Linked DNA regions of Arabidopsis thaliana. The protein of the gene in region 2 interacts with the protein of the main gene of each other region in a pairwise test. Each region holds a gene or a part of one and is shown on either strand. Other genes may lie near its edges.

Region 1 (5,126 bases), on a different chromosome or scaffold from region 2:
ATTACAGGGAAGGTGATTCTGGAATCTGTGATTTTGACCGCTGTTGTGGTCATATCCCTCACTCTATACACTTTCTGGGCGGCCAAAAGAGGCCATGACTTCAACTTCCTCGGACCTTTCTTGTTCGGTGCTGTCATTGTCCTCATGGTGTTTTCCTTCATCCAGGTATCAATATCGCTCACAAGGCTTCAATGTTCTCTTCTTCCACAATAAGAGCTTAAATACTATCTTTATTGCTGCAGATTCTCTTCCCTTTAGGAAAGATCTCTGTGATGATCTATGGTTGTTTGGCATCCATCATCTTCTGTGGCTACATTGTATATGATACCGACAACTTGATCAAGAGGCACTCCTATGACGAGTACATCTGGGCTGCTGTTTCTCTTTATTTGGATGTCATTAATCTCTTCCTATCTCTCCTCACTCTCTTAAGGGCTGTTGATAGTTAGGCAGTCTTGTCTCTTTCAGATTGCTCTTAAGACTGTGCCATTGTTATCTAGTTCATATGTTCAAATTCTTTTGTCTGCAAAAGGAAATTTGGGTTGTAAAGAAATGTTGATCACTGCTTGTAACATGATAGGAGAATCCAATACATTTGTACTTGTGAAGGTTGTTGTTAGCTTTAGAAGTCATCTCTGTTCACTCAATTGAATAAAAGGATATTACAAAAGGGAATGTCTTCTACTCCATTATGTTTAAACCTATTCTTATCATAAGCAGTTCGTTCTACAAAGCATCTACTTCTTTCCTAGCTTATGTTGTTAAGGTGCCATCCATTTGGACATGGAACTTTTCTGCTTCTTCTCAGCAGCAATGGCAAGTAGCCTGGATACGCCCTGAGTCCATATCTCGTATTCCCTTTGGTTTCTGCACTCAAATTCAATGACCCTCTTTGTTTCTGTCTTTAAGCCAAAGTAGTGATGCTTGTCTCCGTTGAAAAGATCTCTGCCAGCCCATGCAGGTATATCCTTTCTCACTTCAAGCACCATATCTGCAACACAAGTCCAAATCAAAGACTATTATGACTTGTATTATCTATCTAGCTTTACTTTAAAAGCCAGGCTAGTGTAAGAGATGAAATGTTTGTGCTGAGAAGAACCTACGTTTCTTCTTCTTTGTGAAGGTCCCTCCAACGTGTTTACTTTTCATTTTCAGCACAGCTTGGCCTGCTTTGTTGATGTAGACAGAGACAATCTTCCAGTGGAGTTCACCTGCTTTCAAAATTCAAGGTCAGCGACCCTTGCTTTTTACTTGGCTTACAAATCATTTATACGGGTGTAGCTTTGGAGTACCTCCACGAGTTCGTTTGAGGAGCTCAGTGCCTTTAGCTAGTAATTCCTGGTTACAGACGCCAAGGAAGTCTTCCCCAGCCACAGGTAATTCTCCACTAAAGCTGCTATCACTATGCTTTGTGTCAACCTGTCCACACAACGCTGAACTTGCCCCTTTCTCGGCTGGCAATACTGCAGCTATGTTCCATACTTCCTTAAGCGCTCTTGCCTTGAGTGTAGCTGCTCCTCGCAGAGCTGCAAAAGAAAAGGGGGTGAATTCAGGTATGGAATCTCTACAGAAGTAAGGGTGACTACGTTTTAATGCAGTACCTGTTGCAGCAGCTGCAGTAAGGGTGACAATATCGTCATGGGACTTAACATTCACGGCAGAGCTCACCACGGATGTCAAATGATCCCTATCTGCTCCCATGATTTCTGCAGCCTCCACACACTGAGCAGCCACCAGAGCAGCCGCTGAAGCCATGGCCATATCGATTCTGGCCATCTGCTCGTTCTTACCAGGGGAAGAAGCTGCTGTGGCTGCTGCTACAGCTGCCACAGCAGATGCAACCGCTGCAACAGAAACAGCTGCGTGAACCTGTGCATTCTGAGTCCTAGTCTCTTCTTTCTTCTTTTCCTTACGGTCCTTGAGCCACCTACCAACTGTCTTTGGACCGGTTCCAGCCATGGGGGTATTGCTCCCATTTCCGGTGGTACCACGGCTGCCTCCTGTGCCGGAGAAGAGAGGATGTATGGTGTTGTGGGTGCGAAAATACTGCATTAGGATTGGTTTATTAGATAGGCTGACTTAATGAAAAATCCAACAAGTTGATGGCATTATATTGGACTACAAAAAGCAAATAAAGGATTAATGAACTGCTTGGAAATGGAGGTAAAGTGACTGCTCGCTCTAAAAGCATTTACCGATAACTTTCTTAAAATGAGCCAACCAAAGAGGAGCTCTAGGCGTTACCGTAACATTCCTATTCCTGTGTCCAACCAATTATGTCTTTAATCTTTTATGAACTCCAATTCATCAAGTAAATGCAGTAGAGACAGAGCATTCAATGGAAGAAAAAAAAGAAAACATTGAAACTGCATTACTATCAATCTATCGCTTTAATGATCGCCGACCAGCTTTATAAGTCCCAAGACCCAGAAGGCTAAACCTTGCAGCACTTCCTTAAAATTATGTATGGCAACGACCCAATTTAAGGAGACCTTCTACCAACTAAAGATTGGTCATATGAATGAACAAGAAACAAAAAAAAACAATGTAGTTTTTTTGTGGGTGAAATGAATGAGAGAGGTTAAAGTAAACAAACACAGGTTGTAAAGTGGAGAGTCAAAGTCAAATCTGTTTCTGTCTGCTGCCTCTGCTTTTCTTTTGACTCATAATTTTTGTTTACTTTGCTAACAAACTCTAAAGTATGGCGGAGACTTACGTTCTAAGAAAAAGGATAAACCAAGGATAAACCTAGGAAGGAAGGATTAGAGAGATAGTATAAGGGAAGAAGTACCTTGATGACGTCGTCGAATTCATCGGAAGGGGAGATAGGAGGACTGTCTGTCTCCGTAAAAGAACCGCCGCCGTTGAGTGGGCCGCTGCTGTGTGATAGCCTCCCCGACGTTAACGGTGACACCTCCTTCATTTTTCAAAACAGAATAAACTCATCATCAAGATACAAAAACAGAGTGTGTCGGTCGGTCCATAACTATGTAACCGTACCGATTGAGACATTATGCGCTCAAGAACAAGCTGTGAAGTGGCCGAGGCAGCGAACGAGAACTGGCTACTAACACTAGTACTGTTCTCCGGCGGACATTCTTCTTTCTCAGGGTTTAGCGTTTCTTCCGGTATCGGAGTGTTAATGGATGAGGGAGGCCTGTTGGTGGCTGAAGCTGATTTGGCGGTGTGGAGAGCTCTGGAGACTTCCAAGGCAGAGACACTCCAGGATCTAGACAAGAACTCCATTGGGCCTCGTGGGCTTTCCGGTAGTTGAGTACTACTACCGCCTGAAGAAAATATCTCCGGCCGGCGAGAGCTGTTGATTGGGTTCGGTCGTCTGAGTTCTCTCTCCATCCTTTCTCTCTCTCTGTAATTAACTTTGCTTCGACTTCAGAGCTTGACTAGGAAACTTATGTGTGTGTATATATATAGATAGACAAAGTAACGTTTAGGTATTTCACCTTTTCTTTTTCTTTTAAAGAAATATGTGATTATATTTCGATGAGAGTAGGAGTGAGTAGTACTACTCTTGACATAATATATAGTCGTTGCATAAATAATGGATTACTACTATACAAAACAAAGACGTCGCTTTTCAATAATAAGGCCGCATCTTTGCCAATCCCATTTTTTATTACACATAAATATTACTTTAGATGTATGTATCAACGAGTCTTGAGAAAAAGGAGGGAATCAAGTCATCCTTGTATTTGCCTTTTCTTAATTTAATCAGAAACATTAGGATAGCTTGACTAGTCAGTCATAGGTTATCAGACATTTATGTTTCAATTGACCAAAAAAGAAAGGAAAAGAAGGTTGAATTTGCGTTTAGAGTGTCTTGTTTAAACCAATCAAACAACTTGGTTTATTGTTGTGGATCATGGTTAAACTAACGGATTAGGTGCTGAAATTTGGTGTGAGAAAATGGGAGGAAGAGAAAGATGAGAATAAAGGAATGAAACGACTGTGTATGATGATCAGTCAGTCTCTTAATTTGGTCCCTTCTGCTTCGGTTTTGAAACACAAAGCTGCGACCTTTGCGTACATTCACACATGCTGCTGCCTTGGCGTGCTTTCCCTTACGTCACCTTCTTCTCTCTGTCTCTTTTCCACTTCAATGACACAAAACTTGGCAATTAGTTTATTCATCCATCCAAGGTTTTCTTCAGGCTACACAATCAAAACTTCTGATCTTCTTTCATCTTTGTACAAATTAACATGATTGTTGATCTATATTCTTTGGTACTAGAGCATTTTGATATATATAAAAACGCATATATAAGATATTTCAAAATCTCATCATGTGTATCTATATTAAATTTATTTGCACTTTGGAAACTATAGGTGGGTGACCACTGAATAAAGATACATCCTTTATTCCCTTTTGCTCTGTCTAATTTTTAGGGATACCCACATTTTCCATTCTTTATAACCAATCCCTTAGAAAAATACTAGTCATTTTGTCTCTCTGATTATTCCTTTGCCTTGCAATCATTGTTCTTGTTTGGACGTTTTGTATTTTATACTACCAATTAAAAATTGAATGTATCTGCCACTTTGAATGATGAACCCTCTTTTCCATTTTATTGTTTCTTTAAACTACTTTTAGTTTTTAGGTACCATCTTCTTTTGCTTTTGATTTGCTTACAATAGACACCTACATACCTACACCATATCCGTTTCTATTCTTAGATTAGGGTTTTGAAACCGAGGTCACTTTCGATGCAAAAAGCACCTCTTTAGGTCAAAGCAAGCATCTTCGAAGGGACAAAGTTTGAAACTTTGTTTTGAATTCACAAAAGAAAAGACTTGCGAGCTAAACCCTGTTGTCGGTTTGATCTACACGTACAAAAAACCATTCATGAAAAAAAACTATAAATCAAAAGTGTCAAAGAAAAGATGATTGATTCCCTAAAGGAATCAATCTGTGTGTAGGGAGAGAGGCAGCTTTTACTTTAATAACACCACTTTTGTCTTAATGCGACGCTTGAAAGCAAACAAAGAGATGTAAGTTTGGAACAGCAACAGGGGAGACACAACAGGAACATAAACTGAGTCACAGAGAGAGACTAAAGAAGAGCAACCACAACCAAAAAGCATGTTTGAAAGGGAGAGCTTTTGACTGT
Region 2 (7,671 bases):
ATTTGTTGTGCAGCTGATTGTGGGAAATCGCTGTCTCTTGATCTCCGAACAAATAACTTCTCCGCATACTGTGGAATGACAAAAAAAAAAAAAGTTTGAATGAGCTTTCCTGAACATTGCCTATGACCGAGCAACGAGAGAATGCCTCGAAAGTAAATATTTTCTACATGCTCAATGAATATTTGAAGGAACAACATACTGGGAAGAAATAAGCACGCCCTCGAGAAGAAAAATAGCTTCATTTATCTCCAACATAAGGAATCAAATAAAGGGTAGAAGCTTAAAAACCTTAGCTTGTATATACTTCTCCTTGATAGATATCATATCAGCATAGCTGGGTTTTCCAGTGACCATCACCCTGGATTTATCAGACCTGCACATATTTGGCAGAGTAATTTTAACATTATGATTTCTAGGTGATCAAAGTTATCATCACTTTCAAACATAAATGGAGTTTTACACTGTTAAGCCGGGGTCAAAATGGATGGCGCTCCTTGAATGAAGCAATTCCTCCCAAACTGTGTTTGCGAAAGTATTTCCAAGAGCTTGGAACAAACTTATAACAGATGGCTCCCATACTTTCACGTCGAGAGTGAGTGACCTAACCTGTAGCAACAGCCAACTTCAGATTGCTGTATAACTTATGTCAAATTGAAGGCCGAGCCATCCAAAGTTCAAATTCTATCACATGCTCTATAATCTGAATTGCTATTGAATATAAGCCTAGTGTCACTTCAAAATTCTCATGGACTTCTTTACGTCCTTCCATAAGTTGGTTGTTATAGAGCCTACATATATTTTCTAAGCAATTAAGAGTTCTGGAGATTTTTTACCTTAGATATATGCACACCAAGATTACGGTGAACACCAGAACATTCGATACAGACAAGAACCCCCAGATTTAAAGAAGCCCAGTCTGGTTCTGGAGCTCCACAATCCGCACATTTGTCATTCCCACAGACCTTTCGAAGAGCATCAATGGGCTTCTCACCCTTTCTAATGGACCGTTGCGGCTGAAAACTTCTTGATGGCCTTTCATTGTACCCCAAAAAGCTCCTCTCACATACAAATTCTTCAGTAGTAGGATGATCATATTCAGAACTTTCATATGAGCTACTTTCACTAGCAGATCGATGGTGGCCACTTCCCATGGGACTACCAGGAAGACGCTGAAATGTAGCCGATGGACAATCACCAAAGTTGCATTGGTATTTAATATGAGCCTGGTCAGGTAAAGGAATAATGATAATACTTACCTGTTCAGGGACCTGAGAACTAAGTAGTGATGCAATAACCCCAGTGATCTTTTCTATCCAATCCATTTGATCGAGTGCACTCTCAGCCTGCACTGACAAACATAAGTAAACACTGAGTGAAAACTATTAAACTTGGGCAAACATGTATACAATAAAGTTTTAAGGCAGTAACAAACACTCTGAATCAAACCTGCAACGTGTAGTTTTTTGTAGGTGATATGATCCTAAAGCAAAACCTCAGATCTGATTGATCAGCGTCGACTTTAATTGTTGAGGTGAGTAAGTTCACTGTATGACGAGCTACAGACTTCTCATCATGGACACCACCATGTCCATGATTATTCGAAGAAAGCCACCTACTAAGCAGTCCAGACCCAAGCTCGGAGCTATTTCTCTGTCCAGAAAGCTGGCTTCCAGACCCCTAAACATCAAATAATCTAAGTCAGAGTGTGAAAAGAATGGGTCAAATAGATTTTTACTTTATGAACACCATACCGTTTGCATAATTCTGCTGTTTTCAAATAAAAGATAAATATAAAACCAAAACTCACAGATGGTTTGCTACACTGTTTTCGGTAATAATAGAGCATTCCCCGGCTGTCAAGAACAAAAAACCTTCTTTTCCAGTCTCCTCTCAGGTTTGAAGATCGTTTAGAGAGATAACCTTGCCTTATTGTTTGCACCTGAAAGCACCAAGAAATGTTAATAGTACTCTCTGGAAGATGTATCAATCATATGTTAAAGACGTTGATCAACCTTTCCTCTTGCAGCAGATTGCATTACGGCGTCTATCATTTTGTGAGAGCTTCTACCGATTGCTTGTATGCCATCTCCATTTGGTGATCCATTAGAACCATTTGAACCCCACCTGCTCTCTCGATCAACCTGTCTTTTGTACTCCTGCATCTTTTCATTAAGTGCTGCTTGTTCATAATTTGATCTTTCTCTGGATTGTTGCGCATATGTCAAGACCTACAAAAAAAGAGTTGATGTATAAGTAGTTTTCTAAATGCTACTATCTCCGCGTTTTCAACACATGTGAAGATTCATACATAGTCGTAGAAGAGAATTATACATAAACCCCAAATATTTAGGGATCTATCACTTGAAGAAAAGGAAAATAACATTAAACCGACCTGATTGATATATGGTTCCATCTGATGCAGTAATTCGTAACCCTGAAAGCAACCACGTTTAGATTTGACACAAACCTTTCCAGACTATTTTATAATTCTAAGCAGCATAACAAACTTACCTGTTTGAAGTACCGAAGATGTGCATCCATTGTTCCACTGACTGCTTCCAAAAATTCAAACCTTTTCTTAGCTTCAACATTTGATAGAGCAGTCACCTGAGCATAAATTAGGGAAACCAAATGATTACTTCAACAATACTACGTATGGACAGCAAGTATGTAGATTTGAACACTCAAGATCAAACGATAGAAAATTACAAGGTTGAACCGAGCTTGCTCAAACATAGACCTCGAAGTATGAAGTTCCTGTCAGTGTCAAAATATGTTAGTTACAACATAGAAATAAAAATACATGGTTATCAAAAATCAGAAACGAGCTTTACTAAAATCATGCACCATACCTGTTCTAAAGCAGCAGCAACGTCACTTTTTGTACCTTTCCTCAAAGATAAAAACTTCTCACGGGCCTAAAGCACAATAAGAAGTTAATTAGTTAATCGTCCAGATAAGTGGGAGCCGTGGACCCAATATGCCTCTCTATTTCTATCAGTTATTTTCCAAGCTACAAATGTAGCATGAACAAAAAAACTAGCTAGGTTTCTGCAAATTTATACACTGCCTGCACGGAAACTGCAACACATATCATAACTTTGAAAAAGAGGAACCCTAGCGTTCCTCCATTAACGAGGAATGATTCTAAAATATTTGAGCTCGACCCATTTTGTCTGGTTGAAACTTTTCATACAGATTTACATCTAGTAAAGAAAAGAGTCAGGATGAGAACTTTTAATCTTTCCAAAATATCTTTTGTAGTGCAAACCAAGTCAGCGGAGTGGGGAAAACAAAAATCCTTGACAAAAGGGATACCTGATCGTAGGTAAGGCTAGCCTTGTCAAAGCGCTTCCGAGCTTCCTGTGGCAAAAATGATCTCTCAGGGTTCCATATCCAAATATAACCATGTCATGCTAGCCTACTATAAAAATGGAAAAAGATATATCTGGACAAGCTGACTAGCCACAATGTAAAGGCAGGCTCAAGAAACTTAACCATATTTTCCGCAATCATCAGACCTTATCTACATTAATGACCTCAGAAAATATTCACAATTATATTTTGTTTGGGGAAGGTTGACCACATGAGTGATAATTAGTTCTTTTTTTTAGATTTCTAGTGCTGCAAGTCAAACCAGAAGAACAAGACCTAATGTCCATATTAAATTAAATGCCTCTTGGCAGGTCTTCATATTTTCTCTATTCACACATGCAGAATATTTGTCCTCCATTGTTTAATAGATATTCTAGTCAATACTAATACCTCAATGATGCAAAGTTAACTCAAAACATGTATATCAAGCCAATAATAAAGGAAGCAGCTTGTACCTTAACTTCATGCAAGTCCATATTGGCAAACTGAAGTAATCTGTCATTCAGTATATGTTCCACCTGACAATGGAACTCATCAAAATCAAAACCTGGATTGAAATGACTTGATCTGCTCTAAATCTATATGATGTCTTAAGGTAAAGCAAACTATAAAGAGGCCATTTTTGCTGAAGGAAAACAAAGCTATCCTACGTTGATACCACAGGAGTTATCAGAGAGAAGGCTGGGAATAGGGAGAAACAGAGAGTGTCAAAATAGCAAACTAGCATACCTGTGACCGAAGAACTTCCTTATAAGTCCCAATTTCCCTCAACGCAATTGTAAATTTCGTCATTACCGGTCCTGGCACAGCAAGTTAGAGTTTGTCAGCACTTTTAACAGCAAATTGTTAACATTTCCACCAAAACCAGTGAATCTAACAACCCTAGCAAAGAGAAAGCGAAGAGAAAGAGCGGGAACAACAACTTCCCTCATAATTTAAGGCCACTATCAGTATTTAGTGCTTAAAAACGAAATTATGAATTCTAAAATGGAAAGTGCCAAAGAATCTCAGATGAAAACTGCAAAGATTATGGGAATAAACAGACAATATGCTACTGCGAGTTTCCATATAATCGGTCATACCTCCAAAAGCCACACTTATTGGATCATTATGGCCTCCACCAAATGTTTCAAGTGCACTTGCGAAAGCAATGTCCCCATCGTATGCCTCGCCTAGTCCTTCACTGTAAAAAGAAAGAATAATCTATCGCTGTTAAAAGATACATGTTTCAGCCAGAAGAAAACTCTAAATGTAGAGCTACAATCCTAATTAGCTGTGAAAATTTGAACTAGCATACGTGTATTTCCGGCATCCTTTGTAAAACTTGAGACTTCTTTCCCGCAATATTTCTGCGCTCTCCTCCATGCTTTGTAACTATTTAAGAAAAAGATATCAATGTAAGAACGCAGCTGCGGAAGGAAAAATACATAAACGCAAAGAAAACAGTAAAGACACAATCCAATTATGGAAGAAACTGCAACTATGGATAACCCCAAAGATTGAGTGATTCAGGCACTCTATATAGGGGCAAAAGAATCATCAACTTCAGGCAAACAGAGCAGTTGTTGGACAGAATTTGAGCTACACTAGGAACTTCCTTAGCATTTAAGTTGAGTTAGATAGCAGAAGTCCTACTAAACCAGTGAGCATGAAAGTAGTAGCTAAGTGGACACAAATGTATCCTAAACACACGAATCAGAGACCCAAACAAGTGCACTGGATCATAAGTCATTTCACATTTCATGGAGCAACAAGTTAAAGCGCGAATAGGCCGTCCAGATAAACCAATTTCTTAGTGACACATTAATTCGAACCTTCCAGTGAAGTTCCACTCACATTTTGGAATATAAATGTCGGTGGACATTCAAAATTCCAGACACAACACATCCTAATGGCTCCAAAATTAGTATCTGTTGACAACTTTTGAAGAACAAATCTCGCCTAATATGACCCAATTTTAACCTACGACACTAAAAGACTGGACACATCAAGACAAGCACACATAGACAGGAACCAAAGATATGTAGTAGAAACAAACCTGTTTGCGGAACATGGGAGAGTCATCAAGCTTAGTGAAATGCATTTTGAGCTAATTTATTACTTCCTCTTCTTCGACACAAACAGCAATTAACATAACACGAACACACACACCAAAAACCTAAAAGCTAGAACCACCACTATGTCTCACACAGACGCCATAAACGAACAAAAACGTGAGATCCTCTCCTCCCAAAGCTTCCCCGAAATATCCAACAGAAACAGAAACCGATGATCTTCAAAGTCTCGAGCCAAGCGTAATTTTGAGCTGGTGTTTTTTTCTCGCGAAATCGAGAGAGAACAAAACAAGAAAACAGTGGGGGTGTGTTTTTTAGATGAAGTGTCTCGGGAGAAGAGAAGAGACAGACAAATCAAAGAAAGGAAGAAAAAAAACTTCACCGTCTTTGTGAAAATTTTAACCACAAAAGACGGCGAAACTATGCCGTTTTAGTTACCGCCGGAGATCGTGAAGGTTGGTAAGATACGACGTCGTTTCAAGTGTAAATTTTTTAAAGAGAGGACTGACTGTGCTTTTTCTGTAACAGTGGTCATCTGAGAAAACAAGGACTCTGGCTAAAATCCACTATATCCACGCGCCTTTAAAGCCCGTGTAGTATTAAAGAGGCTGGAAATTAGGAGGCGCGTGTAGTAAACGCGATTCTCTCGAGAGTATTAATAGAGAGGGGAGAGTGGGACCCGTTATCTGGTTGCTTCTCCATTATCTTTTGTTCCGGAGAGACAGAGAGGCCAGTGGGGTATAAATGATTCCTTTTAAGACATGTTTATTTTATTTTATATGAAAATATCTTTAAATATAAAAAATTGAACACTTATGATTACTTTCTTTTGGAAAAAAATTGTTAAAGCAAAAAGAAAAGTGGGAGAAATTTGGAAAAAATGGACACGATGATCTTACTTTCTTTTGCAGACTTTACAGTCGCATATGATTATTAAAATACATTTTCTTGGTTTCAAAATCCTTATTGTTTAATGAAATGTATGATCTCTTGAGTCTTGTCCAGCTAGTTCAATATTGTTTAATCATAACGATAATCGTCTTAAATCTAGGTTAAGATCTTTGTTCAACTGGTAAAACTAAGACATCTGCAATTAAAAACATAATAATGAACATTATGTATTACTATTAACCAACATTTAATATGGTCTTCTAATCAGATTTTCTCACATCAATTTTCTTTCATCTTTCTCACAACATTTATCGTATGTTTTCTCTCTCAAATGATTTCCGACATATGGCTATCAATCTAATGTAACTTAGATCTCTCTTTTCCTTTTTAGACTGTCGCATCTTTCATTTCCTTATTGACCTCAAACGGCCTACGGATACTAAAATCCACTTTAGCACACAACCAAAAAAAAATTAAAAACTGTATAGAGGTAACAGTGACTAGTAGGCCGATATTGGGCCAAGAAGTAGGAAATTCCATTAAGCCAGGCCCATTATAAAATGCCCATTTAAAATTTGTTTTGTTATAGGATCACACGAAAGGCGGTCTATTATTTTGTTCGTTCTTCGTTTATTCACAGCAATCGATTTGTGTGTGTTTCAATTTCTAATAGCTTCACAATGGCATCGTCTGGATCAGCCGACGAAGATTTCCAGTCTCGCGTTGCGAAGATCTTCGGATCTCTACCCTTCTCTCGTCCTTCGTCTTCCAAGTTTTCCACGTCGTCTTCTGCTCCGGCGTCGCGGCAGCAATCGGGGTCGGTGTGGACTCTCTCCGACACAGAGGTAGAGAAGCGGGAGTGGAAGCGAGATTCGTACGATAGAGACGAGATTCCTTGTGCTTCATCCTTTGACGAGCTCTTAAAACAGCAGAAGCCTTCCGAGGATGATCTCAAAGATATTGATTGCGGCGAGGATTTTGATGGTGTGTGGAGTATCAGAGCCTCCATGGGCCTTGATCGCACTCTCGATGACGAGGTAAATCAATTTTGGTCTCTTAACGATTGTTTCTCATTGCTTAGCTAATTGAAATTAGGGAACAGTGTTGGTCTTTTCTCTTGGATTTGGTAGATTCATATGAGAAGAGCATTGAATTTTTAATGTAGTATCATATTGGTTTGTGTGACTTATAGAGTTTTTGTACGTGAATCATCAACCTATGTAACCAGCTTTAAGATTCTTGAATTTGAGTTTTTCTTGCTATAACTATATGTAGCACATACCGTATTATGAATAGGATGTCACTTTCTTTGATGCTGAGTGTTGTTTCCATGAATTATGCTTCTTAACAC

Evidence for each region.
Region 1: the proteins of SFC (region 2) and FKD1 interact in binary tests that used the Arabidopsis thaliana proteins (3 or more experiments, as listed by UniProt).

The regions. Positions count from the first base shown.
Region 1 is NC_003074.8:23,383,261-23,388,386, reverse strand, and holds FKD1 (FORKED 1), read right to left. Parts: upstream 3,400-5,126; 5' UTR 3,355-3,399; coding exon 3,001-3,354; exon of another isoform or gene 2,918-3,000; coding exon 2,792-2,917; intron 2,261-2,791; exon of another isoform or gene 2,053-2,260; coding exon of another isoform or gene 2,047-2,052; coding exon 1,602-2,046; intron 1,527-1,601; coding exon 1,293-1,526; intron 1,212-1,292; coding exon 1,104-1,211; intron 992-1,103; coding exon 762-991; 3' UTR 545-761; downstream 1-544. Other genes in the region: BIL4 (Bax inhibitor-1 family protein), read left to right, coding at 8-165, 243-449.
Region 2 is NC_003076.8:4,256,561-4,264,231, forward strand, and holds the start of SFC (ARF GTPase-activating protein), read right to left. Parts: upstream 6,009-7,671; 5' UTR 5,459-6,008; coding exon 5,414-5,458; intron 4,750-5,413; coding exon 4,673-4,749; intron 4,559-4,672; coding exon 4,458-4,558; intron 4,176-4,457; coding exon 4,105-4,175; intron 3,894-4,104; coding exon 3,831-3,893; intron 3,364-3,830; coding exon 3,319-3,363; intron 2,919-3,318; coding exon 2,853-2,918; intron 2,758-2,852; coding exon 2,710-2,757; intron 2,608-2,709; coding exon 2,512-2,607; intron 2,435-2,511; coding exon 2,393-2,434; intron 2,229-2,392; coding exon 2,013-2,228; intron 1,940-2,012; coding exon 1,808-1,939; intron 1,678-1,807; coding exon 1,447-1,677; intron 1,344-1,446; coding exon 1,257-1,343; intron 1,170-1,256; coding exon 834-1,169; intron 607-833; coding exon 461-606; intron 374-460; coding exon 289-373; intron 69-288; coding exon 1-68. Other genes in the region: AT5G13310 (uncharacterized protein), read left to right, coding at 7,001-7,357. UniProt on the Arabidopsis thaliana protein: GTPase-activating protein (GAP) for ADP ribosylation factor (ARF). Involved in the spatial control of provascular differentiation. Required for the formation of the normal pattern of continuous secondary veins.